Linked DNA regions of Lonchura striata. The protein of the gene in region 4 interacts with the protein of the main gene of each other region in a pairwise test. Links are inferred from orthologs where the notes say so. Each region holds a gene or a part of one and is shown on either strand. Other genes may lie near its edges. The genes, in order: CYTH2, CYTH1, CYTH3 and IPCEF1.

What was found.
Region 1: the proteins of IPCEF1 (region 4) and CYTH2 interact in binary tests that used the Homo sapiens proteins (3 or more experiments, as listed by UniProt). The link is inferred for Lonchura striata from reciprocal best matches to the Homo sapiens genes IPCEF1 and CYTH2.
Region 2: the proteins of IPCEF1 (region 4) and CYTH1 interact in binary tests that used the Homo sapiens proteins (3 or more experiments, as listed by UniProt). The link is inferred for Lonchura striata from reciprocal best matches to the Homo sapiens genes IPCEF1 and CYTH1.
Region 3: the proteins of IPCEF1 (region 4) and CYTH3 interact in binary tests that used the Homo sapiens proteins (3 or more experiments, as listed by UniProt). The link is inferred for Lonchura striata from reciprocal best matches to the Homo sapiens genes IPCEF1 and CYTH3.

The regions. Positions count from the first base shown.
Region 1 is NC_134640.1:2,541,240-2,548,983, forward strand, and holds the start of CYTH2 (cytohesin-2), read right to left. Parts: upstream 3,018-7,744; coding exon 2,999-3,017; intron 1,347-2,998; coding exon 1,199-1,346; intron 1-1,198. UniProt on the Homo sapiens protein: Acts as a guanine-nucleotide exchange factor (GEF). Promotes guanine-nucleotide exchange on ARF1, ARF3 and ARF6. Activates ARF factors through replacement of GDP with GTP.
Region 2 is NC_134621.1:11,768,630-11,776,162, reverse strand, and holds the start of CYTH1 (cytohesin-1), read right to left. Parts: upstream 3,015-7,533; 5' UTR 1-3,014. Other genes in the region: USP36 (ubiquitin carboxyl-terminal hydrolase 36), read right to left, coding at 4,967-5,098, 5,174-5,289, 5,558-5,722, 6,128-6,270, 6,508-7,017. UniProt on the Homo sapiens protein: Promotes guanine-nucleotide exchange on ARF1, ARF5 and ARF6. Promotes the activation of ARF factors through replacement of GDP with GTP.
Region 3 is NC_134618.1:10,893,730-10,901,393, forward strand, and holds the start of CYTH3 (cytohesin-3), read left to right. Parts: upstream 1-4,659; 5' UTR 4,660-4,881; coding exon 4,882-4,912; intron 4,913-5,140; exon of another isoform or gene 5,141-5,812; intron 5,813-7,664. UniProt on the Homo sapiens protein: Promotes guanine-nucleotide exchange on ARF1 and ARF6. Promotes the activation of ARF factors through replacement of GDP with GTP. Plays a role in the epithelial polarization.
Region 4 is NC_134605.1:55,582,937-55,589,903, reverse strand, and holds the start of IPCEF1 (interactor protein for cytohesin exchange factors 1), read right to left. Parts: upstream 3,007-6,967; 5' UTR 754-3,006; intron 1-753. UniProt on the Homo sapiens protein: Enhances the promotion of guanine-nucleotide exchange by PSCD2 on ARF6 in a concentration-dependent manner.

The DNA.
Region 1 (7,744 bases), on a different chromosome or scaffold from region 4:
TTGGGGATTTTGGGGGTTAAAAATGGGGATTTTGGGGGGAATTTTTGGGAATCCTGGGGAATATTTTGGGAGTTTTTGGGGAATTTGGGACAAAATTTGGGGAATTTTGGGGTCAAAACTGGGAATTTTCGGGAATATTTTTGGGACTTTTGGGTTAAAAAATGGGAATTTTTGGGAATTTGGGGAAAATTTTGGGGAATTTGAGGGGAAATTTTGGAGATTTTTTTGGGACTATTTTGGGGCTATTTTAGGAATATTTTGGGGATAATTTGGACTATTTTTGGGAATATTTCTGGGGCTATTTTCGGGATGTTTCAGGAATTTTTTGGGAACATTTTGGGCTGTTTTGGGGAATATTTAGGGAGTAATTTTGGGGATTTTTTGGGGATATTTTGGGAATTGTTTGGGCCATTTTTGGGATATTTTTGGGAATATTTTGGGAGTATTTTAGGAATACTTTGGGCAATTTTTTGGAGTATTTTGGGAATTTTTTTTTTACATTTTGGGAATATTTTGGGGCTATTTTGGGATATTTTTGGGGAAATTTTGGGGATACTCTGGGCTATTTTGGGGATATTTTGGGGATATTTTGGGGATATTTTGGGAACATTTTGGGGTTATTTAGGGATATTTTTGAGGATATTTTGGGGATATCTTGGGCTATTTTTGGCAATATTTTGGGAATATTTTGGGGATACTTTGGGCTATTTTTGTGACTATTTCCGGGATATTTTGGGGATATTTTGGGAACATTTTGGGGATATTTTGGGGATATTTTGGGAACATTTTGGGGATATTTTGGGGATATTTTGGGGATATTTTGGGAACATTTTGGGGATATTTTGGGGCTATTTCAGGGATATTTTGGGGCTATTTCAGGGATATTTTGGGAATATTTGGGGAATATTTCAGGAACATTTTGGGGCTGTTTCGGGAACATTTTGGGGATATTTTGGGAACATTTTGGGGCTGTTTTGGGAACATTTTGGGAACATTTTGGGGATATTTCGGGAACATTTTGGGAACATTTTGGGAACATTTTGGGAACATTTTGGGGCTGTTTCGGGAACATTTTGGGAACATTTTGGGGCTATTTCAGGGATATTTTGGGAACATTTTGGGGCTGTTTCGGGAACATTTTGGGGACATTTCAGGGATATTTTGGGGCTGTTTCGGGAGCATGCCAGGGCGCCCCCACCTGCCCTCGCTGGCCTCCAGCCCCTCGACCTCGCTGATGGCCTCGCTGAGCTCGTCCCGCAGGCGCCGGATCTCCCCCAGCAGCTCCTGCTTCCGGCGCCGGATGGACTCCAGCTCCCGCCGCTCCTCGGGGGACAGGTCCGGGGGCACTGCGGGCACGGCGGGCACGGCTGGCACACCTGGGCACACCTGACACACCTGGGCACACCTGGGCACACCCACAGCCACCCCCCAGCAGCTCCTGCTTCCGGCGCCGGATGGACTCCAGCTCCCGCCGCTCCTCGGGGGACAGGTCCGGGGGCACTGCGGGCACGGCGGGCACGGCTGGCACACCTGGCACAGCTGGGCACACCTGGGCACAGCTGGGTACCACCCTGGGCACACCTGGACACAGCTGAGCACACCTGGGCACACCTGAGCACACCTGGGCACACCTGGGTACCACCCTGGGTACACCTGAGCATCACCCTGGGCACACCTGAGCACACCTGGGCACACCTGAGCACACCTGGGCACACCTGGGCACCACCCTGGGTACACCTGGGCACACCTGGGCACAGCTGGGCACACCTGAGCACACCTGGGCACACCTGGGCACACCTGGGCACCACCCTGGGTACACCTGGGCACACCTGGGCACACCTGGGCACACCTGGGCACATCTGGGCACCACCCTGGGCACACCTGGGCACACCTGGGCACACCTGGGCACCACCCTGGGTACACCTAAGCACACCTGACACACCTGGGCACACCTGGGCACACCTGAGCACCACCCTGGGTACACCTGGGCACCACCCTGGATACACCTGAGCACTCCTGGGTACACCTGGGCACACCTGGGCACCACCCTGGGTACACCTGGGCACCACCCTGGATACACCTGAGCACTCCTGGGTACACCTGAGCACACCTGGCACACCTGAGCACACCTGGGCACACCTGGGCACACCTGGGCACACCTGGGCACAGCTGGACACACCTGGGCACACCTGGGTACCACCCTGGGTACACCTGAGCATCACCCTGGGCACACCTGAGCACACCTGGGCACACCTGACACACCTGGGCACACCTGGGCACAGCTGGGCACACCTGGGCACAGTTGGGCACACCTGGGCACCACCCTGGGTACACCTTGGTACTGCCCTGCACACCTGAGCTCACCTGAGTGCATCCCTGGCGCACCTGGGCACACCTGGGCACAGCCCTGGCACACCTGGGCACACTCACAGCTTCATGACCACGCCCACATCACACCTGGGCACACCTGGGCACCTCCCTGGCCACGCCCACATCTTCAAGGCCACGCCCATTTCACACCTGCCCCTCATTTCCTTGGCCACGCCCCTTCCCAGTCAAGCCCCGCCCCCTCAATTAAGCCTTCAGCGTAAAGAAGAGGGCGTGGTCTGGCCCAAAGGGGCGTGGCCATCACTAATACATATTGGTACGTGCAGAGGGCGTGGTCTAATTTGCATATGCAGTTAGGGCGTGGTTTAGCGAAAGGGGCGTGGCCTATTCATAAAGAGGTGTGGCCCACAGGGGGCGTGGCCCATTCAAAAGGGGCGTGGCCACCAGATGAATGGCCTCGCCCCCACTGATTGGCCCCGCCCACCCACGTGACCCACGCCCCGCTTTCCCGCCGCGCCCGCCACGTGACCGCCCCTCGCCGCGCCATTGGCCCGCGCCTCACGAACCCCCCCCCCCCCCCCCCCCCAGGGCCAGTTCCCGCTCCGCTCCTTCCCCGCCGCCATTGCCGCCATGGCCGCCATTGCCGCCATGGCCGCCCCGCCGCCCTCACCGTACACGCCGTCCTCCATGGCGGCCCCGGGCCGGCCCCGCCGCCGCCGCCGCTCCGCCCCGCCGGGCCCGCGGCCGCTCCGCCAATCAGCGCCGCGCCCGCCCCGCGGCCGCTCCGCCAATCAGCGCCGCGCCCGCCCTGAGCGACGGGCCGCGCGGCCAATGGGAGCGGGGGGACGGCGGGACCGAGCGCCGCGCGGGGAGCGCGCGCGGCGGGGGATTGACAGAGCGCTCGGCCAATCGGGAGACAGCGAGGCGGGGCGGCGGGGGGTGACTGTGATTGACAGCGGAGCCGGCCAATAGCGAGGGGGATTGGGGAAGGAGGCGGGACTTGCGTGTTGAGCCGCGCTTGTTGATGTTAATGAAGCTCATGAATATTAATTGTGTGCCCTGAGGGCCTTTCCCGGCCCCAAATGGCCCCAAATTGCCACAAAATGGCCCCAAATTGCCACAAAATGACCTCAAATTTCCAAAAAGCGACCCCACACTGTTCCCAAATCCCCCAATTTCCCCTAAAATGACCCCGAATTCCCAAAATTCTCACGAAATTACCCCAAGATGGTTCCAAATCGCCACAAAATTACCCCAAAATGGCCCCAAAGCCCTCAAATTCCCCAAATGGCCACAAAATTACCCCAAATTCCCCAAATTCTCACAAAGTGATCCCAAAATGGCGCCAAAATTCCCCCAAATTCCCCCAAATTCCTATAAAATGGCCCCCAATTCCCCAAATTTCAAAAAAAATTCCCCAAAATGGCCCAAAATTCCCCAAACTCCCACAAAATGATCCCACAATTCCCCTGAATTCCCATCAAGTGGCCCCAAATTCCCCAAATTTCCCCAATTCCAAAAAAAAAAATCCCCAAACTTCCTCCAAATTCCCACAGAATTCCACAAAATGTCCCCAAAATTCCCTGAGTTTCCCTAAAATGGCCTCAAACTCCCCAAAATTCCCCAAATTTCCCCGAAATTCCCACAGAATTCCCCAAAATGTCCCCAAAATTCCCCAAATTTCCCCCAAATTCCCACAGAATTCCCCAAAACGTCACTGAAATTTCCGAAATTCCCCCCAAATTCCCACAGAATTCCCCAAATTTCCCCCAAATTCTGCCCGAATTCCCCAAAACGTCCCAAAATCCCCCAAAATTCCCGGAATTCCCCAAATTCCGCCGTTTTCACGCGCGTTTTTTTATTGGAAAGAGCGAAATTCCCGTAAAAATTTGCATGCGGGGGGCGGGGCCTGCGCGGGGGGCGGGGCTTAAAGAAAGGGGGCGTGGCCTCATCCAGGGTGCTGTGGGGGCGTGGCCTGAGCAGAAAGGGGCGGAGTTTGATTGGGCGGGGCAGAAAGGGGCGGGGTTTGATTGGGCGGGGCAGAAAGGGGCGGAGTTTGATTGGGCGGGGCAGAAAGGGGCGGGGCTTGGTTGGGCGGCGGTTGATTGGGTGGGGCAGAAAGGGGCGGGATTTGATTGGGTGGGGCAGAAAGGGGCGGGGTTTGATTGGGTGGGGCAGAAAGGGGCGGGGCTTGGCCAAGGGGGCGTGGCCGGGGGGGCTCCCGATGATCCCAGCCCCCCCCACCCGCCCGGGGTCATGGGGAAGGGGAAACTGAGGCACGCTGGGCCAAACTGGGCCAAACTGGGCCAAGGAAACTGGGACAAACTGGGCCAAACTGGGCCAAACTGGGCCAGGGAAACTGGGACAAACTGGGCCAAACTGGGACAAACTGGGCCAGAGAAATTGGGACAAACAGGGCCAAACTGGGACAAACTGGGCCAGGGAAACTGGGACAAACTGGGCCAGAGAAATTGGGACAAACGGGGACAAACTGGGCCAGGGAAACTGGGACAAACTGGGCCAGGGAATTTGGGACAAACTGGGCCAAACTGGGCCAGGGAACTGGGAGTTACTGGGCCAAACTGGTCCAGGGAAAATGGGGGAAACTGGTCCCGTATAAGGCAGGGAACTGGTCTGGACTGGTCCAAACTGGTTCAGGGAATTACTGCGCCAAACTGGTCCAGGGAACTGGGAGTTAATGGGCCAAACGGGGACAAACTGGGCCAGGGAAATTGGGCCAAACAGGTCCAAACTGGTCCAAACTGGTCCAGGGAACTGGGGGACACTGGGCCAAACTGGCCTGGGGAAGTTGGGCCAAACTGGTCCAAACTGGGACAAACTGGGCCAAACTGGTCCGGGGAAATTGGGGGTTACTGGGCCAAACTGGTCCAGACTGGTCTAGGGAAATTGGGTCAAACTGGTCCAAACTGGTCCAAACTGGTCCGTACTGGTCCGTACTGGTCCGTACTGGTCCAAACTGGTGGGGGCACCCCGGGGGTCCCAGCCCCCCCCTTTAAGGCACTGGGACCCCCCGGGGGTGGGGGGGAGGGGCAAAATGGGGCAAAAAATGGGGAAAAAGGGGAAAAAAGGGAAAAACGAGAAAAAAGGGGGAAAAAAGGGGGAAAAAAGGCCAAAAATTGTTCAAAAAAAGTGGGGAAAAAAAGGACAAGAAAAGGACAAAAAAGTCAAAAAATAACAGAAAAACCCAAAAAATGATCAAAAAAAGCAAAAAAAAAAAAAAAAAGTCAAAAAATGGGGGAATGGGAAAAAAAGGGAAAAACGGGGAAAGAAGGGGAAAAAAGGGAATTTTGGGATCCCCCAGGGAGGGGAAATTTGGGCAATTCCATCCAAAAAATGACGATTTTGGGGCTCCAAAAAATTGACGATTTTTGGCACCCGGATTTTGGGGTCCTGAGGGGGATTTTGGGGGATCCCCGTGAATTTGGGGTGAATTTTGGGTAAATCTGAAAAGTGAATTTTGGGGGATTTTTGGGGTGATTTTGGGTGAATTTTGGGTGATTTTGGATGAATTTTGTGGTGAATTTGGGATAATTTTGGGATAATTTCGCGCTGATTTTGGGATAATTTTGGGATAATTTCGGGCCGATTTTGGATGAATTTTGGGGTGAATTGGGGATAATTTTGGGATAATTTTGGGCTGATTTTGGGCTGATTTTGGGGTGAATTTGTGCTGATTTCGGGCTGAATTTGGGGCCGATTTTGGGGTGTATTTGGGAAAATTTTGGGATGAAAGCAGGATAATTTTGGGATAATTTCGGGCCAATTTCGGGGTGAATTTGGGATAATTTCGGGATGGGGCCGATTTGGGGCCGATTTCGGGGTGAATTCGGGATAATTTTGGGCTGATTTTGGGGTGAATTCGGGATAATTTGGGGCCGATTTGGGGCCGATTTGGGACCGATTTTGGGGTGATTTCGGGATAATTTCGGGCTGATTTTGGGATAATTTGGGGCCGATTTGGGGCCGGTTTGGGGCCGATTTTGGGGTGAATTTGGGATAATTTCGGGATAATTTGGGGCCGGTTTGGGGCCGATTTGGGACCGATTTTGGGGTGATTTCGGGATAATTTCGGGCTGATTTTGGGATAATTTCGGGATAATTTTAGGCTGATTTGGGGCCAATTTTGGGCCGATTTGGGACCGATTTTGGGGTGAATTCGGGATAATTTTGGGATAATTTCGGGATAATTTGGGGCCGGTTTGGGGCCGATTTTGGGGTGAATTCCGGCCGGTTTGGGGCCGGTTTTGGGGTGAATTCCGGCCGGTTTGGGGCCCCCTAGACCGGCGTGGTTCTCCGGTTGAGGGTCCCGCTCCCGCCCCCCCCCGCCGTCTCCGCCCCTCCCCCCCCCGCCAGCGCCAGGAAGGCGCCGGGGCCGGGTGGGGGAGGGGCGCCGGGGGTGCCGGGGGGGGGCGGGGCGGGCTGGGGGAGGGGCGGGGCGTGCGGCGGCCCCTCCCCCCCCGGCCGAGGGTGAAGAGGGAGATCTCGGCGGGGGGGGGGAGGGGCGGCGGGGGGGGGCTCGCGGCTTTCCCGCGGCTTTGCTGGGAGGGGTGGGGGAGGGGCGGCGGGGGAGGGGGTGGGGGAGGGGGAGGGGGGGAGGGGTCGCGCGACTTGGCGCTGGAGCGCGAGCCCGAGCGCGAGCGGCGGCGCGCGGGGGGGGGGCGGGGCCGGGCGGCGCGGGGGGGAGGGGGCGGGGGGGGAGGGGCGCGGGGCGGGGGGGGAGGGGCGGCGCGGTGCCGCTCGATGTACAGGTTGACGGCCAGGACGCCGATGGCCTCGGCCAGGATGAACGAGACGCCGCCGAAGTAGAAGCTCCAGCCGTAGCTGTAGGGGGAGGGGCGGCGCTCCCCTCCCCCCCCGCCCGCCCCTCCCCCGCCCCCGCCCCCCGCCCCTCCCCCCACCCCCCGTACCGGGGGGAGGGGACCCCGCCCGCGCCCACCCCCCCCGCCGAGCCCTCGCCCGAGTTGGCCGAGATGTAAACGATGACGCCGACGATGTTGGACAGGCCTGGCAGCGAAGGGGTTAAATGGCTCGTTAATGGGGGGGGGAATTAATTAAAGAGCTAAAAAAGGGGAGAAATTAAAAAAAAAATGGGAAAAATGTAAAGGAAATGATTAAAAAATGGGAATGATGGAAAGGATGGTGGCGGCGATGTTGGACAGGCCTGGCAGCGAAGGGGTTAAATGATTCGTTAATGGGGGGGAAATTAATTAAAGAGGTAAAAATGGGGAGAAATTAAAAAAAAAATGGGAAAAAAATGGGGAAAAATGTAAAGGAAATGATTAAAAAAGGGGAATGATGGAAAGGATGGCGGCGACGATGTTGGACAGGCCTGGCAGCGAAGGGGTTAAATGATTCGTTAATGGGGGGGGGAATTAATTAAAGAGGTAAAAAAGGG
Region 2 (7,533 bases), on a different chromosome or scaffold from region 4:
GGAGCTGGCTCTGGTAGGGGAGCTCCAGCCGCAGGAGCCCACGCGCCAGCCCCAGCCAATCCCCGCCGCACCAGCACACCAGTCCGTGCCACCGCCGGAGCCACAGCGGGCGGCTTAAAGCCACTTGGAGGACACGGAGTTTCAGAACTTCCCAGCAGCCCCCCTGCCCAGGCTGCCTGCCCCCCGGCAGCTCCTTTGCCCCCGCGGGGGGCCAGCAGCAGTGTATTTTTAGAGTGGTTTTATCCCTCCGTATTAGAGCATTAAGCATCAGGAGCTGGCGGTCGCATAGCAACGAGCGCCGCATGAGGAAGGTGCACCCAGAGAAGCGCGGCGGTGCGAGCGTGGGGGTGCCACCACGGCCCCCGCTCCCCAGCCTGACCCAGCCCGACAGGCTCAGCCAGCCCTGTGCGCCAGCACGAGCAGACACCAAGCCCCGCTCATGCCCCAGAGGTACTGCCCACTCTGCCGCGGCCCTGGTGTGTGGGGGGCTCCTGCAGCAGGAATCAGGGGTCATGCCCCAGGATCTCAGGCTGGGGGGCAGCTCTGGAGCTGAGGAAATGAGCAACTCTCCCACCCCACAGGCGCTGAGCGAACCCCAAACCGGACTGACAGCTCCTTTCCTCAAAGCAGGAGCGATCTTGAGCACAGGGCATGGCCGTGAGTAACAAACCCCAGGGCCTGTCAGGGCAGGAGCAGCCCAACAGCTCCGCTCACCCGCCCCTGCATCCACTGGGATCGCTGAGCCAGGAGTAACTTGAGTAGGGCAGGCAGAAGCCCAGACCGGGCAGGCAGTGGGGAAGGGCACCCTGGCAGGCAGGAGCAGTTCCTGATCCCAGGAGCAGTGTGACTGAAGAGAGGAGGAGAGAGTGGAGAAGGGCAGCTGACAGGACTGTGAGAGCAGCCAGGCACTTGCTGATGTGACTGACCTTCTGCTTTCAACACCACTTCCCCTTTCCCAAGGGCCAGAGCAGCAGTTACCACATCACCAGAAGGCAAAAGGGCAAGCCAAGGGAGCTGGGGACACAGAGGAGGCTGAGCTGTGCACGTGCTGTACAGGTGCCTGCCTGGGCCTGGACTGGCACTGGAGAAACACCAGTGTGACACAGGCATGTGGGTGCTGCGACTGGGATGGGGTAGGGCCAGGTGGCATCTCCCACAAAGAGTGACCTGGATGCCTGGCTGGGTCCTTGCACCCTGTCCAGGCAAGGTGGGGTGTTTACAAACCATAGCTACAGCCCTGACATGACTGCAAGTGTCAGCAGCAGGGCTCACTGTTCTCTGCTCCAAACACCTCAGGAGAGGAACTGGGCAACTGCCTCTACCCAAGCCCCTGGCTCTGCTCTCTAAGCCTGGTGCTACCCCAGCACTGTCTTTGCTTGTGACCTGGGAGTCCATCCCTGAGTTCTGTGGAAGAGTTGCTCCCCAAGCTGGGCCCAGCAACTTGCCTAGGCTGACTCCACACTGTGCAAAGGAAGCACTGGGGCATCAGCAGCAGCTCCCCCAGGAGTGTTCCCTGGTGTCCAGGAATATGCCGTGGTCCCAGGATGGGACAGCCAAACCTGTACCAAAGGGCTGCCAGCACCCACTGGCAAAACAGGACTTTACAGGCTGGTGGCAAGGAGAGCAGTGACTACCTGGGTAAGGACCCCCTCAGCCAGCCTTCTGCAGACCTGTCACCCCACCCTCCTGGGGATCCCCCACACCTTGTACAGCCCACCCTGCCATCACACACCCATCCTGTCCCAGACAATAAGGCCCCCCAGGCACAAGCTGCTTTGCTGGAGGCTGCATCAACCCCACTTAGAGAAATCCCTTAATCCCTAGGCCAGAGTGAGCAGTAATCCCTTGGGTGCAGTGGGATTACCAGCACTGCCCAATCCCCATCTCCCTGGGGCCAGCCTGAGCCATGACAGGGCCCAGCTCAGGACACAGTGCTAGGACAGGACTGTGCTCCCCACATCCTCTCACCGGTGCTGCAGCTTGGCAAGGCAGGAGCAGCCAGGATGGTTCTCTGCCAGGATACCTCTTCCCCACAGTCCAGAGGCATTTGAGTCACACCACTGCTCTCGGTCAGTTCCGCTCTGGGATGGGTTCAGTTTTGCTGCTGTCCCCACGGGGAGATGCTGGGAAGGGGGTGGGAGTGCAGCCCCACGCCCTGGCAGGAGCAGGGAGAGCACACATCTGTGCTGCCAGCTGCTCACCTTGGGATTTGCTCTCTGCCGAGGCAGACTGAAAAGAGGCTGAAGAGGGGCCATGAGCCATGGGGCAGACACTGGCGTCAGCACAATGCCACCAGAAAGAGACTCCGCGTCGGCTCCCACCATGCTACAGCCTCGGCAGAATGTCCTTGGCTAAACCATGCTTATGGGCTTCAGGGCAGCTGTGGGTTGTGCTGCCCCCAGCACAGGAACAGTGGTGGGGGCTGGAGGCGGCGGTGCACTCCCTGTGGCTTCCGCCACAGAGTGAGCGGGACATTTCTAATGCTGAGATATGACCCGGGATGTCTTCCAGGTGATTCCAGGAAGCACTGGGAGGCTGTTGGCAGAACCGATCCCCACAGCGCTCTCCTGCTAATGGGTTGTATCGGACAACACCCGAGCCAGGCCGCAGCTGCCAGCACCTTCCTTATCTTACACAGTGAAGTCCTTGCAGCCGAGCACTGTCACTTCTGGGGTGGAACAGCAGCTCCTAATCGGCCGCACAGCTGGGCAGGAAACCGGCCGTGAACCGGCACTGCCGGCAGTAGCATTTTGCTGGCACCAGCTGCTCCCAGGAAGAATGGTCACCAGCACGGCTCCAGCACTGGGGCCATTGCCCGAGATTTCACCCAGACTCCAGTCTCCCCTCAGCAAAGGCCCTCCTCAAGAAAAACCACCTGCCGACACACGGGAACCTGCCCGGGAGAGATCAGGCACAGGCAGGGTCTCCCTGTCCAGTCCCGGTCCTCAGCACCGGGAGGGAAGGTACGCTCTGCGGGCACGGAGGGCAGAAGGAAGTGGGAGGAGAATGTACGGGCATGAGAAGGGAGACCTTGCACCCCCTGAGCCGCCGCGGCCCGCCCTGGGAGCGGGTCCAGGGCACACACCGGGAGCTCCCGAACCGGGGGCTGTGACATTCAGCAGGCACCATCGAGGCCAAGCCGCCCTGAGCTCTGCGGGGCCGGGACTCGGCAGTGCCGTGGGAGCACCGGAGCGAAGTGCGAGCGGCCGACGGAAGGCGTGCGGGCAGCGGGCCACGGAGCTCCCGCGGCAGTGGCGGCGCTCCGCGGGCCCGGGGAGGGCGGCCCCGCGCCGCGCCCGCCCCCCGCGCTGCCGCCGGGCACCAGGTGCCAGTTCCGCCCGGCGCTTCCTCCGCCGCCGCCCGCACGATGCCGCCAGGGCCGCTCTGTCACTTGCGGACGCAGGTCCCGCCGCCGCCAAATCCCCGCCCGTCCCGGAGCCACCGCCCCCGGTCCTGCACCTGGCAGCGGCCCGGCCCAAACGCGCCCCGCCCGGGAGAGTAGCCACCGCCCAGCGGGGACTACAGACTGCCCCGGCGCCTCGTCCCGGGCCAGGCGGGTGTCCCAGAGCCCCCCGCCCGCCCCCGGCCCGCACTGACCGCAGCCGCCGCCCTCCTCCTCCTCCATCCCGCCGCCGCCGCTCCGGCCCCGCCCGCGTGACGAGCGCGCCACGGCCGGCACCACGTGACCCGGGCGGGGCGGAGCCTCGCCGGCCCCGCCCCCTGCCGCCCGTCCCGGTGCCCCCGGCCCGCCCCGGTGATCCCCCAACCCCGCCCCGGTGAAACCCCCAACCCCGCCCCGGTGATCCCCCAACCCCGCCCCGGTGATCCCCCCAACCCCGTCCCGGTGCCCCCGGCCCGCCCCGGTGATCCCCCAACCCCGCCCCGGTGAAACCCCCAACCCCGCCCCGGTGATCCCCCCAACCCCGTCCCGGTGCCCCCGGCCCGCCCCGGTGAAACCCCCAACCCCGCCCCGGTGAAACCCCCAACCCCGCCCCGGTGATCCCCCCAACCCCGTCCCGGTGCCCCCGGCCCGCCCCGGTGAAACCCCCAACCCCGCCCCGGTGAAACCCCCAACCCCGCCCCGGTGATCCCCCCAACCCCGTCCCGGTGCCCCCGGCCCGCCCTGGTGAAACCCCCAACCCCGTCCCGGTGATCCCCCCCACAACCCCGCCCCGGTGATCCCCCCCCCAACCCCGTCCCGGTGAAATCCCCAACCCCACCCCAGTGATCCCCCCCAACCCCGTCCCGGTGATCCCCCCCCAACTCCGCCCCGGTGATCCCCCCAACCCCGTCCCGGTGAGCCCGCCCCGCTGCTTGCCCCTCGCCATCGCCGCCTATCATGACCGAGTGACAAAGACCGGGATTTATTCAATTCCATCCTTCAATGCCCGTAGCCACGGCGGCAGCACTCCGGCCCCGAAGGGATCCCCCGGTGCCCCCGCGCCAGCGCGGGGCCGGGCCGACAGGGGGCCGGGGGAGGCTTTCCATGCAGCTTGTGCAGGGGAGGGGGGTCATGGAGTGAGGGGAGTAGGGGAAGATGAGGGTCGGTGACGCTGGGAAGAGGAGGCACAGCAGCTCGGAGTGACAGGGATGGGCTTGAGGCACTTGCCACGAGCCCCCGCAGGGGTGGGCTGGGGCCTGAGGGGAAGAGGCACGGAGAAGCTGATGAGGCGCCCGGCCGAGGCAGGTTGGAGGGAAGGCAGAGTGGGCAGGCTCCTCTGCAGCTGGAAAGCAGCTCGCCGAAGGAAAAGGCACAACGCCAGGGCTGCGGCTGTATTCCCTCCCCTCTGAGTGTGCTCCACCAACAGCTCCCAGGACAGCGCTGCCCTTGGTCCTTGACCTGGGACTGCTCCCTGAGCAGTTGGGGATGCAGATCTCAACCTGTGAGGCAAAGAGCCCTGTCAGACCCCACCAGGCTGCTACCTCATCAGCCCCCAGGCTCACTGTGCCCCCCGGGTCACTCACCTTAGAGCCGGTGGCCCAGGCTGGCCATCTTGGCAGGATGTGACATCAACCAGAAGTTGCGCTTGTTCTGCAACTTCTGGAATGGATTTGAGTCTCTCCTCCGCTCCTGCTTCATCTTCTTAATTTTCTTTACCTGTGCAGAGGAGGAGTGTGCTCAGGTCAGACTGCAGAGGCCCTAGCCTCCCACCTGGCCCAGGCCAGCACCCACCTTTCCTTTGTCAAATTCCTGGTCCCAGTCATCGATGACGGTCTTGCTTTGGGCCAGTGCTGTGTCCCGAATTGCATCCTGGCTCACGGCCGAAATCTCACCCTGCCAGGTCAAGACTACAGAGCGGTGGAGTCAGAAGGACCAGGCTGTGCCACGCTGCACCTGGCCCCGCCCCAGGCCCAAGGCTGGAGCCCCTCGCTGCCCACCCTGTACCAGCCCCGTGGCCGGGTGTACCTGCCTGCTTCCAGGAGCACCCCTGCCTGCACTGGGGTGGGGGGAGCTCAGGCCCTGCAGAGCTGAGGGGACTCTGCCCCCATCCAGGCCTTAGGGCAGGGGGGCTCCATGCTGTTTGCCCACCCACATACCCACATGACCCTGGATTACCTTGCTTGCCATAAGCCCTGTCCAAGGAATTCTGGAGCAGCTTGTCCACCACGCTGGACTCCTGGCCCTCAGGGGCTGTGCCAGCCCAACTGCTGGCCATAGGGCTCAGGGCAGCCAGAGAGAGCCTCTCATCCCCAGTCTGGCTGTCGCTGGGATGTGCTGCCACTGTGGAAATAAGCACGGTGAGGATGAGCCAGGGGGAGCAAGGGCAGCTACCATGTCCCTCCCTCTCCAAAGCAGATCTCATCCCAGGAAACACCATTTGGACAGACAAGGTCCTGATGGCTGAGGGTGTCTGGGCACACAAATGCCTGTCCTGGGGGTCAGTCAAGGGGCCTGTTCCCACCTCCTCTTCCAGGGCATGTGCAAAGGCTCCAGGGCTGTCCCCCAGGAGCAGCAGGCAGGCCTGGGACAGGGCAGCCCAGGCCAGGGAGCAGGACACAGACACTGCCAGGCAGCTGCGGGACCAGCAAGCACTGGGGGTGGTACAGTAGTGCTCCAAGGGGGCTCCTGGGCAGACAAGCCACTGGCCTGACACTGCCAGGCACCAGACAGGGCACAGGGTCACACCTGGGGTAGTGGCAGTGGCGGTGGGAACAGTATCGGCAGCCAGGCTGCTGAGGCTTTCCATCCACTTGCGTTTGCGGTGCTTGTGCTCTCCAGCCTCCACACTCTGATGTGTCTTACAGGGCTCTGGTTCTCTTGTCCTGGAGCTGGGGAAGGCAGCAGGGTCAGCTCACACCAGCCAGACCACAGCAGGAGAGCCTGAGCTTCCAACAGAGCAATAGGGCAGAGACACCCGTGCTGCACCCAGGGAGAAGTGAACCCACCCACAGCAAACAGGTGCTTCAGCTGGATGCATGCTGAGGTGCATCCTACCTGCAGAAAGATGAGAAGCCCCTGACTCAGGGAGCCTGACCTCAGGCTCTCACATGCCCCTCGTCCCTCACCTGTCCGAAAGCAGCATCCCAGAGCTGCACTCTTCTGTCTTCTTCAAAAGCCTGTCTTTGCTTCTATTCTTCTTTTTCTTCTTCTTCCTCTTGAGGGGTAAAGTTGGCTCCATGCCCAGGCCAGTACTGGGCTCTGGCACATGTTGCTTGGGCCCACTCTTCATGTCCTGACAGACCAGGTCATGGCTGAGACCCTCACTGGCCACCTCCTTCCCCATGACAGCCACAAAGTCCCCTGGAGAGGCAACTTTCTTCTTGGGAGGCCTGGTGTCTTTATCAGTGAAGTCCTTCTGAGGGTCAGTGCTTTCTTTCTTGGGGAGCCTGGAGTCTTTGCCCTTGAAGACCTCTGGAGAAATAACTCTCTCCTTCTTGGGAGGACTGGAGACTTCATCCATGCCCTTCACAGCCACAGCACAAGGGCTCCTGTCTGCGCTACGATGCTTCCTCTTCCGACGCTTCTTTTTGAAGGAACCCTCTGGTTCCTCCTGGCCAGATCCTGTCTCCCTGCTGCTACAAAGAAGGTGGTGTGAAGTGTGGGCAGTGGAACCATGGGTCAGCAGGGAGGCCGGGTGCTGAGCAGGCAAGTTGAGCACGAAACTGAAGGCAGACTTTTCAGGATTGGGAAGTTAAAGAGCAGATGAGGACAGGCTGAAGGACAGGAGAAGAGGCTGATCCAAAAGCCTGGATGCCCCTCTCTTCCTCCCTCCCCTGAGGTGCAGAAGCACAACACCCAACTGCTGCCATCTTGGCCACGAAATGGGAATCAGAGGCTACTCTGCAAGCACTCACAGGTCCCACAGCAGACCAGGAAAGAGTGGGTGCTGCTGCAGCACATGCTGGTGGTGAAGACAACAAGGGACACCCAGAGCAAGATCTAGACCAGGCTGGTGCCTCCTGATCCCATGGGACATTAGTATGGGGTCAGGGCCTGCAAAGCTCCCTCCCACTCTGTGCTGAAGTCACCTCTTCTCAGATCTGGAGCAAGCCCTGCCAGCCCTGGAGAACAGAAAAGCTGGCTGCAAGGCC
Region 3 (7,664 bases), on a different chromosome or scaffold from region 4:
CTTGCTAAGCTTTAGCTTTGATGTTCCCGAAAGCAATATAAAATACCTTCATGTAAAATTTTTTTGGCCTAAATGAAAGGTACAAGCATTTTTAAAACCTTTGAGACAACCAGCAAACAGGATTTTCTACAAAAATGTTTTTCCACCTGAGAAAAATAGGATGAGTGTGACAACATAAACATTTTAAGAAACAATACATGGCTGAAACCCATTTGCCAGGCAGAGGAAGTCAAAGACTTTGCCTGAGGGGTTTAAGAATACCAGATTATTCAAGTACTGATAAATTTGGAAAAAAAAAACCCAAAAAAAAAAACAACTTGGGGAAGAAAAAGGACAAACTGATGGTCTAAGATTTTCCTGCATTGAAACTATTAAGCAATGCTTCTTAAAAAATAAAAACTGTTTGACTGTCTAGATTTGAAACAAAATCAATGGCTGGGTATCAATGACAGTGATTCTATCAACAATATGATGTTTTAGAAAATGTAATGCTTGCACTATTTTCCTAAAAATGGGAGACAACTATGTGAGCAAGTTGCAAAATCAACCAATCAATTCTAGATTATAAAACACTGCACAACATTTGTATTGTTTAAGATGTGTCTCTATTTTTGGTATAGATCTATATGCTCTAAGAATGTATTTATTAAGACTGCATAGATGTTCATGTCTCCAAGATGAGCTTTTTCCTTCACGGTAACTGTCCATCTCACCCAATCTAACAGAAATCACACAAAGCCAGACTTGCAAATTAGTGATGTCTTGCCTACACAAGAAACAGGAATACCTGCATGGAGGTGAGTCTTCCTTCCAACAGTAAGGAGCATTATTCCATCTCCCTGCGGCTGATACTGACATGCAGTCTGATGGCCCAACAGTCACTTCTTTCTGCACTGAGAAAATTCGGAATTTTATTTATTATACTTGAATACAATGCTACTATGAACATCCTCATAGCTCATGTTCTTGATTATAAATAAAAACTTTATGAAATCTATAATAGTAAAAATTTTATTTTCATTCACTGCTCTTGGAATCTGGTTCAAACTGAAACCCACAGGAATGGCTTAATATTCAATGAGCTTTATAGACCACAAAAATGTGATGTAATAGTTTCAGTTGTCTTCACTGACTCACTGACACTGACATTTGTATAGGGACAAATGCCATAACAGATGTGCTCCTCAACCCTTAAAATGAAAAATGACATGATAAATTACTTCTTAGTGGAAACTGAAACAGAACAGTTACTGAACTACCCAAAGAGGGACAAAAAAAAAAAAAAAAAAAAAAAAAAAAAAAAGGCAAAGCATATTACCTGAAAATTCAGCTAGTAACCACATTTATCATTGAGGAATCAATGCTGCCAACAGGAGGTTTTGGAGAAAGCCCAATTTTCCACTAAAAATAATATAAACAGACCTGCTATTAGACTATTATTTACATGAATGACAGACTACATAGTGCTTCCAACACAGAAGGTTAGACTTGTGGATATGAAACTGGCAAAAGATACTGGTGGTAAAAATAGACCTAAGACTACAGAAGACACTGAAAAAAAAAAAAAATTCAAGCAATCCCGAGAAAACTATTGATTGGAAGTCTCAATAATATGAAGAAAAAATTTAAAATTCATACGTACTTCAAAACAGAAGAATGATCAAAATTAGATGCGACAAAATTATTCACACAAGCAGGAAATAATTGATTGGAGTTTGTCTTGGAATTTGCTGTGATTGTAACCTGTATTGTTCCTGGCATCTTTGTTGGTAAGGAACTACCCCATATTTAATGACAGCAATGCTGTTACTGTTCAATTGCCAAAAACCAGGAAGGAGTTCTGCTATGGTAGAACTGCTCTAGCTACAATGTAGAACTGTGAGTGTAATTCTTTACTTGATTTTACACATTTTCCAAAAATCTACTCCTGACCTAGTTAGGTTTACAGCCAGACATGAGCTTTACTTTATACACAGGAAAATGAGGCAACAGAGTGAAATGTTTGATCTTAAAAGTTTCTGTGACACCTCTCACCTACAGATTGAACAGCTTTGTCCACTAAAGCACCTTGTACACAGAATTAACAGTTTTGTGTTTAGAACACTTGTAAGATTGGGCCCATACAAAAGTAAGTGTATTTGTGATACACACAGTATGAATGAAAATGTTTTAAGGAATATCTGTCATCCTTTCAAAGACACACAGCCTTGGAGAGAACACTATAATTTTAGTACTCTTTTGTACTATGTATCATTAATAAGTCATTCTACTAAAGCAGGACTGGAAAGAACAGATTCTTCTTGAGAAGGTATTAAATGACATCTAATCTAGAGTTCCAACATAGTAAGCTATATATTCAACAAAACACTGAAAATTTCTCTGTTCAAGTTTATCATGAGTATAATAAAGAGAGTTTTCCATACCTCATGAGTTTGGAATTGGATTTCACCAAGAAGTTTCTATAAAATATTGCAACTGGTCACTTGTAATTAGGACAGACATTTTTCATATCTTTCTTGCATAACAAAATAATTTTTCACTTTGATATTAATTTGGAGAGTTTTAAAACTAGTTTTGCTTCCATGAAGTCAACAGGAATTTTGCACTGAATGGGTGGAAGGAGGACTGTTCTCCACACTTCACTCTCCCCTGCTATTAGAATTAGTGATTAGGCTTTTTTATTTTGGACTAGAATTTTCCTTGAAACCAAGTGAGGGATGGATGGATGGATGGATGGATGGATGGATGGCAAAAAAACAGAAACAAGAACATAAAAACATATACTTTATATAAAGGTGTAAAACAGCATAAATTAAATGAAAGCAAACAATCTGTGATTGATTATAAAATTAGAATTTTTCTCATGAACCAGATTCCCCACTAATGTAAATGAACAGTTTGCTCAGTGTGCAAAAATATTCAGAGCCCACTGTCAGTTCATCTGCATTAAGACTTATTTTAAACCATCCTTTAATGGCACTTTATTGACATAATTTCAAAATCAATCTCTTACCAAGGTGACACTTCTGTTTTATGTAATCATATCCTTTTTATAACTAACTTACTAAACTTGTAACAACATTTAATTTCAAATATGAAAGACAAAGAGGAGTATTTTAAAGGTTTATGATTTTTAGATGAGGTAAAGCACTTTATCACCAGAGCAGCTGTCAGAGCCAAACCTCAGCTCTCAGCAAAATGGGCTGTAATAACCACCTATTAGCAGCAGTGTCAAGAGGTGACTGCTCCTGACACAGCATCCTAGACGGTGCTCTGTCCCATGCCAGCCTACAAAAGGAAAATGAAAAACCTGATATTTTCCTGTTGGCTGACCTTTTCCTCCCACAGCTTCCTTTCTGAATAAAATTTTGACATGAACGTTTTTTAAAAAATAATAAGGGGCGGTGCCAAGGAAGGAAAGAAGGAAGGAAGGAAGGAAGAGTGATGTGCGCCAGTACACTTCAGCTTACCTTTATGACTTTGGAAGCTGCTGATATCCCGACTCCCATGGTAGGTAACTCACTGAAGATCTTTACTGAAGACTAAAGAAATCCCACAGATGCTCTGGCTCCTAGGGCAGTAAGCAGGAGAATAATTTCTGTTACCCACACAGACAACGCTCACCAACGCAAGCCCCTGCACTGCCCATGGGGCACAGTCCCATTTCTGCACCAGGCTCTCCATGACCACTGTGGCAAGGGGAGCACCCAGCACCGGACACAAAAACAAAGAGCAAGCAAGAACCAGCAAAAAACATGCAGAAACATCAGATGTCTCGGGCTCTTTTCCAAAAACTTCAACCCACCTCGTCCCCCTTCATTACGGTGCTTCAGGCCATCTCAGCCCTCACCTTCCAGTCTCCTCCCGCTTCCGTTTATAATGCCCAAAGGAGTCTTTAGACCTCCAAAAAATAGTCAGGGGCTCTGCAGACATTTTCTGGCTCATGAAGACCCCAAAACACGACCCCAGCCAGCATGAGCCCAAGTGACTCGGCCCAGGCTCCTGTCGCTCCCGACCGCCCCAGTGACCCCGGCAGCCCCCGGGCAAGTCGCTTTCGAGGCCTCGGCGCTGCGGGGCCGCGCCGTGCGGGCTGTGCCGGGAGGAAACAGCGCAAAGGGCAGGCGGGAGGCTCCGCTCCCAGCGGGGCTCGGCCGCGGCGCTGAGGGAGCGGGCAGCGCGGCGCTGAGGGGAGCGGGCGGCGCGGCGCTGAGGGATCGGGCGGCGCGGCGCTGAGGGGAGCGGGCGGCGCGGCGCTGAGGGGAGCGGGCGGCGCGGCGCTGAGGGGAGCGGGCGGCGCGGCGCTGAGGGAGCGGGCGGCGCGGCGCTGAGGGATCGGGCAGCGCGGCGCTGAGGGGAGCGGGCGGCGCGGCGCTGAGGGAGCGGGCGGCGCGGCGCTGAGGGGAGCGGGCGGCGCGGCGCTGAGGGGAGCGGGCGGCGCGGCGCTGAGGGATCGGGCGGCGCGGCGCTGAGGGGAGCGGGCGGCGCGGCGCTGAGGGGAGCGGGCGGCGCGGCGCTGAGGGGAGCGGGCGGCGCGGCGCTGAGGGAGCGGGCGGCGCGGCGCTGAGGGGAGCGGGCGGCGCGGCGCTGGCCGCGACCCCGCGGCGGCGGAGGGGCCGGGCGGGGCCGCCTCCCCTCCGCGGGTCACATGAGAGGGGCGGGCGGCTGGGCCGAGGCGGTGGCGGCCGCCGGGGCTGAGGCTGGGCTGGGAGGGACGGGGCTGCGGAGCGCAGCGGCGGAGGTAGTAGCAGCGGAGGAGGAAGAAGAAGAGAAGAAGGAGAAAGAGAAGGAGCAGGAGCGGCCGCGAGGCGCCGAGCCGGTGGAACGAGCCCCGGGCCTCCCTGAGCCGCGGCCGCCGCGGAGCGCCCTGCCCGCGGTCCCAACATGGACGAAGAGGGTGGCGGAGGTGGCGGCGGTGAGTGCGGGGCTCGTGCGGGGGGGAGCGCGGCCCCTCAGCCCGCGCTGCGGGCGGCAGGACGGCCGGAGCCCCTGCGAGCTGCCGCGGCCCCTGCCGCCGGTGCTGCCCCGTCCTGCCCGGCGCCCCCGAGCCGAGCCGAGCCGCCGTGCCGGCGCTACCGAGCAGTGCCCGGGCGGGCCACAATGGGGGCTCTGTCCCGCGCCCGGGCAGGGTCTGGCGGGGGCGCGGCGGTCCGGGCGCTCCCGGGGGCGGCGGGGCAGGCAGGCAGGGCAGGCGTGTCCTGGCCCCGCCGCCGTGACAGCCCCGTGCTCGCTGCTGCAGCTGCTCCTCCGCTGCCAGAGGGGAAGGGGCAAAATGTGAAAAAGTACGCGTCTGGCAGTGTAGGAGAGGAGAAAAGAGTAATTGAGCTCTGTTTGTGTGTGTCATCTTAATGGAGGCTCGGTGATAATCACGGGGTGGTTCAGCCAGTTTAAACAAGGTGAACTGTTTCCAAAGGCAGCGGCGTTAACCTTGCTGGATACTACTTTTAGAAAATCCAGACTCGCATGTTGGGGAAGCTTTTATTTGTATTATTTTATCTTTTGGAGACAGGCTTGTGCGCTGCCCCAGTTTAAGGCACTGCAGACGTGCCACACGCTTCCCTCCTTTAATTTATAATGTGTTTTGTGAGTGCGTGTGTAAAGCTGCTGCCTGAAATAACCAGTTCTTGTGTATCATCAGCGATAATGGTGGCTGAGCAGGAGCTGATCCTGCCCTGGGGCAGAGGGACCGACTGCATGGCCTGCCCTGTATTCAGTGTGTCTGTGCCGTGGTGGTGCAGAACGGAGCGACGAGGGTATATCTTAAACCAAATGCTAAACAGGCGGCCTTTGAATGCGTTGGCTGATCTCTAAATAGGTAAACTAAGGGCTAAGCATTGTATGATTAATAGTTGCGTGCTACTTGTTAATTCTAAATATAATTACCCAGAACTCGGAAATCAAGAGGGTGTGGTGTTTGTTTTGACAACTTGAAAAAATAATACTATGATGAATCAGAAAAATAATTCTTCAAGCAGTGGGTTGGAAATGTGGCCATTTCTCAGCAGGCATTTCTGCTTGTTTTGACAGTGATAGACTTAACTCTTAAAACAAAACTGAAAAAGGAAAGCAAAAGACAAAGCGAGTCAGTCTTGAAAAGTTATTATTCAAAGCAGTTGAACACTGTAATTGCAAAGAGCAGAAAGCTCATTTAACTCAAAATATGTTATTTTCACAGTATTATGGACTTGCATCTGTAGTTGAGGGAAATGAACATGCTTGTTATTTGCACTTACCGTGTGTAATATAGTACTTAATCATGTGCGAAATGTAAACTAGAAAGTGGACATATTGCTGAATTAATCTTCCATAAGATGTTAAGCATTTCAAAGTTGGATTTGCATAGGGCGACAGATAGTCAGGACCTGGGGACGACACCGTCTGTGTTTAGCTGAATGCTGATTCTATATGTGAAGCCTGATTTATACCTCTAGCATGCAAGAGAAGCTGATATCACTTTAATAAACATATTGCTTTTTGGGGGTAAACTACAGTACAGTGTATTGTTGTAAAACAATCACAGACAAGTAAGACTGGAATTTTGTTTTGTAATTGGTGTATATGACATTTTACTCTGACTTCTTGTAAGTATTGCACTTTATTCTTGAATAGAGACCCAGTCTTGCTTTTTCTTAGGGATTGCTGTCATTTTGGAACACCAGGATTAGTTAGGTAATTTCTAGCTAATGAATTGGCAAGTTGTTATTTTGTTTGGGTTTCCCCCCCTTTTTTTTCTTTGATGACAGGATACGTATGGATTTGACAGCCTGTTTTAAAAGTCTTTATTGCTGTTGAGTAATGAGACTTGTGATATCTGAGCAATGAGACTCCCTTTGGAGCCTGACCAGGGCAGCCCAGTGTTTTGAACTTCTGCAGGACATTCTTAATCCTCATAAACTTGATATTATTGAATGGGAAGCTCTTACAGCTTATCACTCTGCACAGGTACTTTAGGAAGTATGCAAAATTATTTAAGGGCTGCACAGAGTCACCCTAATTAGAGACTTGAACTAGATAAGCATGTAAATATCTAGGACATTAAAGTGTGATTCAGAAGGTAAGCTGCTATTCCCAGTTCAGCTCTGCCTGCTGCGCTGCTCTTCAGTTTGATTTGCATCCTATGCTTCAGTTCTCTTATTTGTCAAATGGGGTCAGTTGTTTTACCACCTCTGTTAAAAACTGTGAATGAAAACAGAACTGTGTAAAGTTAGAATTTATTATTTTAGAATCACTCGGTGGAAGAGAAGTGCTAATTAAAGGAATTGTTCTCAGTACCTCATTTTCTTTTGTATGTGGAGCCCTAAACAGGGCCGTGCATTTATATTATACAATCCACTTCCACACAAGCCTCCCATTGACTTCAGCAGAGGCTCTGTGCATGGATTATTGATGTGATATGATCCGAGTCAGTTGGTGTTTGGCTCAACTTTCTTTTGTGTCCTGATTAAAATATCTCTGTGGTTTGCTTAGTGCAGGAAATTTCTCCTCCTCCCTCTCCCCACTTGGTTTAAAACTACATCTTGTGTGATTTGAGAGGCTTTTCTCACAGGCTCACAGTCAGGTGGTGGCAGTGCCAGTGGCCAGGACCCTCGCGTTCAATAGTGCTCTTGGTGTGGTCACACAGTGAGCGAGTGATCCTCTGTGAAAGGTCAAAATGTATAAACAAGTCA
Region 4 (6,967 bases):
CAAAGCCTTTCTGCACTGCTTTTTCTATTCTGCTGCTCTTTAGACCCTTTCAACTGTACTAATAAGTACAATGCAGAATAATTAAATCCCTGACCCATTACACTCAGGAAGTTAAAACTAGAAGACAAGGCTTGATAAAAAAATCTTACTATCTAACTAGGTAAGACAGACTGCAATAAAGGTATAGATCATTAAAAAAGCAGAAAAAAGCTTCTTCACTAACATTAATATAAATAAAATAGCCAAAGAAAAATAGATACATCCTAAATGTAGAAAACTACAGATGTAGCAGCAGGGAATATGCGTGGGCTTTTCTGCAAAAAACTGTTCCACCCGGTCATATGTCTGTCCCACTCCTGACCTGAGAGTTTTTTCAGCACTAAACAGCCCTTCATTACCAGTGAGCTTCAGTAGGCAAACATGTAAATTAGGTGTTAAGTTTACAACATGAACAGCACAAAAGAAAATGAGTTACCATTTTTTGGCTGGTGACTGAGGCAACAAATCTCACAGTTCACCTCCTTATTTCAAATGGGGAGCAGGAGACACAGAAGCTACCAAGTCTGAAGGACCCCCAACCCTAGCACATATCCTATGTCTTCTCCCATGAAGAACTGCTTGAAATATAACTTATAATAAACAAATCATGCCTAAAATGTTCATAAAGCATTATTACTTTAAAATAAAAACACTTTATAACTTAATTGCAATATATATTGCCTCTTCAATCCTCTTAATGTAGTTTTAACTTACCAGAAATTTAGAGAGATCTCAGGAAAACCATAAAGTTTGTACACATGAAGCAATAGGTTCTCCCCCACCCAGGAGACTCCTTTCTGTCTTCCTTTTTTCCTCCCCCACCCAAGCCCTGAATACAGGAAGAGAGATCACCAGCTGCCTGCTGAAGAAAACAACTACCAAATAGTGTGCATCATTCAGATGGCTTGGATGATTCAGCTTTTCCATGTGAACTTTAAGTGGCACAAATGGTGCTTTGTGCATTTCTGAATCAAGAGTGTATTTAATAGTCCAAGAGCATAACACAATTTCTACTTGAAGAAAAACTTTTCATCTTAAACACAGCAGTATATGTTACCTTACAATGGCTCCAGTTCTCAAACCAGTCAATAATTACATCTATCTGTGTTTATGGTATTGCAGCATCTTCAGCCTTTAAAAATACATTTTCTATTGTTCTCAAAAGTTGAACTGAGTAGGACAGTGAAAAGAGGATCTAGTGACGAGCTTACAGTTTTGAAAACCACCTGATATGATGTGCATTGGTTTGAGAGTGGGAGGGCTGGGAAGGAACAGAAAACCCAGGCGTAGCAAGCAGTCTGCTCTCCCAAAGCACAGCAGCACAATAATAGAGCAGCTGCTTGATCATAAGCACCCCACAGTTACCTGCAGCTCATTGTCCAGAAATTTGTAGGAGAATAATATTAGAAGTTTCCAGACAGTAGACTCAGATATGAAACCCCACACAAATGTAAAACACATACACATTTACTTTGTGTAGTTTTTGTTTAGCACTGCTCAGATAAAGAATTAGTGCCTGGTTTTACTTGTCTAGTTTTTTTGGCCTTTATTAATTGTTCAAATGTTCACTTGCATCTTCATCAACAAGACCCTGTTTTCATTTCACCCTTTCAATCATAAATCAGAAACGGCTCTCATCAACCAATAAGATTTGACACAAAAAGTAGAAGGAACCTAGTGCTCAGACCTAGTGCTGAGGACAGAACATCTTGCCCAACAAAACCTGTTTAATTACTGGGAGAATTTCTTATTTATGCTCAAGTACAAAAGCAGCACAAGCATGTTGAACACAACACTGCCTTCTGCAGGCACCCAAGTGTGACAATGCCAAAACTGCCTGAGGTGCTCAGCAAGGGCACCTTGAGCAAAGGGAGAAAACAGCAACAGACTGAAGAGACCACTCATCACCGGAGATCACTGAAGACCTAGAGAAAAACAACAGAAATGTTGCTTGGTCTGTGCTTTCAACAATGGAACCAAGCCTTTGGGTTCCTGTAGTGTGCCATCTTCCACTAGGGCAGCACCCAGAATTTTGTCTTAGGGGTGCAAACTAGGCAACAGTACTGGAAAGCAACCAGAGAACAACGTTTTGGCAGCATCTCTTCTCCCACAAATATCTCTTGTATGGTTTTTGTGATTTTATTACTGACTTTCACTTTATTTTAAAACATAGGCATGTTATCCACATCCAATACAAAAAGCTTGTATCAAACTAATCGGGGTGATAAAATTCTCGCCTTACAGTTCCTTCCCTGAGACAACGCTGCCAGAGTCAGCCTCACCAGCCAAGATGTCTCTCTACATGAACAGCAAATACTCCACGAGACCAGAGGGTGTCCAAAATCCTCTGTATTTTGAAAACACACCAAATACTTCATTGCAAACTAGATGAAAAATCCACCATTGCAGGAGTGACCTGTGGGAGAAGTCATGCACTTTGGTATCCATGTGTGATTCACGTTTTTTGTACTTCAGACTTCTGGTGATTGTTTTCATTCCCTGACATTTCTTGATAGGGAGAAAGATAGCAGGAGTACTTCTCATCACAGCTTCCCTCATCATGACACCTCCCCTGCTTTGGTCAGCCACTGGGAAATGAGTCATGATGCCGAAACCTGAGCCTCTTCCACATCTTTCTAAAGCCTTATTTCCCACACAGACCACATGCATTGCAAGCACAGCAGCCAGCCACGGTCAGTAGCAGGTCAAATGCATTTCCTGTGACCAGATTCACCCAAGTGTGAGCACCCCAGGGTATCTGCCTCACTGCCTCTCCCAGACAGCCGCATCTCACTTGTCCCCTTTGCTTTAGTAAAGGTCTCTCGGTGAGCACTAGCTGAAACATGCCTGTGGCACACCAGGAGCTCCTATGCTGCCAAACCTTTTTTGTTTTTAGATTATGGCTCCCTCATAACACTGTGAGACACACCATGTCACTCCACAATGTTCCCACACTTTCACAGGAAAACCAACTTTGCAAATCATGTACTTTGCCCCATTAGCCTTTTAATCGAGGCCTGTCACTCATATCCTGAGCATGGGGTGGGGAAGAGAGGGGCTGCTGCTTTAGCTGATGGGTAGGAAGGGCAGGAGGTCCACATCCCTATCTCCAGTGCAACCTATGAATCCAGCGTTACAAAACTCTGAAAGAGAAAAAAACAGACCCTTTCTTCCTATCCAGTGATAAGCTGATGTTTCTGGACCAAGGACTGCTTGGGGTGGTCTAAGTAAGTTCAAAGCAGAGTCTAAGCCAATAGCTTACTAAGCAGAGAGGAATTCTTATACGAATCAAGAACTTGGAAATGTTTTGTGGACAGTACTATTTTTTGCTGGAAGGCTCTAGTGAAAACTATCTTGGACATCAAAACAAACTGATTATGCTATAAATATTAAAGACTTTACAGCTGTTTGTTTGTGAAATAAATTTTTGAAAAGTCCCTTAGCCTTAATATAGGGAGGAAAAGGTCAGAGAGCAAAGACATAGTAAAAGGGAAATAATTAATTTAGGACATCATTTATTTCGCTCTCATCCTACTCAATTACAGGAATTTATACCAACTGTCCCCCAGAAACCAGTGGTCAAGAAATATGCCAGACAATATTAAGACTTCTGCATGTTCAATGGGACATTCAGTGACGTGTGAGAGTTTTAGCTAAAACTGTGTTACACCTAAGAAAGCCTTTGATCACATTCTGTGGAAATACATTCAAACACCACAGCTGCACTTCAAGAATCTACAATAAGTGTACTACAGCCTTCATTTTCTACTGTCATGTAATAAAATCAAACAAATCACCCAAAATGCAGCCACTAAAGTTTGGCTGATCTTATACCTACATGAAAATCCTCAGTTTAGTTATTATTCATGAACTTGTTATTCACAAGGCAGAAAATGTTTTTTCTTATGTTTTGCTAATGAAGTTTTGTTTGGTTGGAGCTCTTTTACAGTTTACAGATTAAAATTTTATGGCTCATTTATGACTACTTGGCATTATGAACATTTTCACTGGAAATATGGGAGGATTTCATTAGGAACATTGGTAATGAAAACAGCTAATGGGGGATGAAAGAGGAAAACACATTAATAAGTAGCACTGAGAAGCATGCAGTTACTTGGGGAAAAAAAATAACATTAAATACATGGTCAAAACATTGAATATATTTTTAGACTGTAACATATTGTCTCTCAGTAAATATTGCCCAAACAAAAAAGCCTCTAAGCAAAGGTCACAAGGCTCCTCACCTGCAAAGGCACTCCCAGAGCACATCTAAACACGTGGTGGCGGAGCACCATCAGTCAGCACAGCCCAGTGATCCATCAGAATCTTGTCAGGTTTGCTCCACAGGTACATTTCAACAATTCCTGCTCTGGCTCACTTGCACTCTAAAAGGGCTACACTTACCAAGGAGGGTGTGGACTCTCAGAAACAATCAACCAAAAAACCAAAGAAGCCCAAGCAACTACCCCTCTCAGCTGAAGATACAGTAAACTGGACTTCCTGTCCTCTGATTCCTTGGTTGCTGTCTGGCATAGGGAACATTCACCCTCACCAGAGAACAAACAGAAACCACAATCATAAATTGACCCTAAGGATTTTCCCTGTAGCTCAGAACTCTCTGGCACTTATTTTATGCTTAATTACTCTGTCTCCATACTCTGTTAATCAATCATGTAATTGTCTAACATATCTTTACCCTCTCCTAAAAAACCAAACTGGATAACTCCATAACCACTTAAGGGAGAAAGTCAGTGGCTTACATCATCCTGAATAACTGAGATGACCACACAGGGAGGTTTAAAAAGAAATGTTTACATCTATTCTATGTCATACTAAAACAAACACATTTCTCCCACTGGCAGGAACTGGAGGACACCCAAAGGTCTGGGGTTTTTTCCTCCACTGAGTATGCAATCCTCATTTTTTCTTCCACTGGCAAAGTATGTGCAATAGACAACTCTTGCCTGTTTCAAATCTAGTATGTATTTAAAAAAAAATCCCAACTCTTAAGTGATGTTAGAGCAGTAACATTGTTTTTAAATTTGACTTTCCACTTTTGGACAAAGTCCAGAATAACCCAAACTACACTTTTGGACCACTGCACAAGGCCCCCTGGGAATAACACAACCTTACCAGCAATTACTATCACAAAGACAGACAAAACTGATGGTTAGGGACTCGCATTGTGCAGGCAACAGGATAAAGAGAGGTTGCTATTTTAAACTGATGCAGCTGAAGCACAGGCAGCAGAATTTGGTGAAATTACACACTGACAGCAGCTCTTGACTGCTTTTGTCAATATATATTGCAGCTCAAGTGTGGTGTGTGGAACTACACATAACTGCTTTGAAAGACTGCCCTTGTTTCATATTCTAGCATCATACAAAAGTAGTGGTAGAAATAAATGTGCATGCTGCAGTTGTGTCGGGTGCTTTCTTTGCAGAGTTACTGTCACTCAGCTGAAGCAGCATTCGACACAACACAGACCCACACATTTAACTTAGCCTGACCCCTCTTTTTTCATTCTCCAAACTGAGTTTTTTGGAGTGCTCTTTAGACATCTTAAGTGAATCACAGAATATGCTGAGTTAAGTCAGTGGCTTCATCAAGAGTTCTTGTCCATTATAAAAACCTCACAGCCTGCAAGGAGACAAAAGCATTCCTATGTGACAGCCACAAAGAGCATGTGCTCCATAACCACAGTATGTGCAAAGCAAAGCTCAGGCTTTACAGAGAAGAAAGAAGTCACAGTTGTACATCAGGACAAAGATTACTCCAAAGGACACAACAGTTCTTTCCAATTGCCCACGACCATTTCTATCCCACACTTCAGGATGGTGCACTAGATGTATGGTGGAAATTAGGGGATGAATATTTCAGTGCAGAAAACTCAAGCAGAAGCCAACATTCACACTCCTCTGAAATACCAATCCTGCTGGCAAAGGCATTTCTGAGAATGTATGAGCACAAAAGCCTTTCTGCCTGTGTAAGATATTCCAAAAATTGAATTATGAAGGCAGGAAAGCTCCTAGGAAAGTAAAACTTGAAAAAAAAAAAAAAAAAAAAGGGGTTGAGCTGAATTCATTGAGATCTAAGTTAAAGAGTTAAAGCCTGATGACAGGTTTAACTTGGTCTATTCAGGATGTGATTGCAGATATAAAGCAGTTTGTGAAGACTGCCTGGTGCAGTGTAATAAAACAGGATGCAAGATTTGGACTAAAGAAACATTTTTGCAAGAAGAAAATTCTTTATCCTCTCCAACTTAAAAGCTTGTCTTTACCATCTGTTTCCTGGTTTGGTTAAATTTTGGATTTTTACTCCCTCTCCTTTCTGTTCGAGCACCAAGACTATGGAGCATGTTGCTTGTAAAACAAGCCCTGCTTATGAGGAAGGAAAAGTTATCAGTTCATTGATTAACACAAAATTAGTAAAATGCTCTCAGTAGTGTGTTCACCTCTGTTAGTCATCCAGAATTCAAACACTGATTAATTTAATTGTCCATAATACCAGAGGAAACACATGGCTTGGAGAATTGCCCTGCACTCTGTCTCTACAAGCCATTAGTGCTCATTTTCATGTCTTATTTCCTCTCACACATTACAATCCAAAATAGGACTTTTTTTTTTGCAATGGTTATGTAAGAGAAACCAAAGGCATTGGCTTTCACATATTCTACAGACTTTAACAGAAGCCTGCTCAATATTTCAAAAGTGCATGATCCCCACTACATATATATATATGCATGAGTACTAAATATTATTTTCCATTTTTGTGGGGTTGATGATCTTTTCCAATTACCTGCATTGTTTTTCCACCATAACAGTGTATTCAGAGTATTGTGGAGTACTGTACTATGGCAGGACATCTGGAAATGTACATGATACTTATTAGGGAAATCAGCCTAGATATAGTTTTTCATTGGATAGAT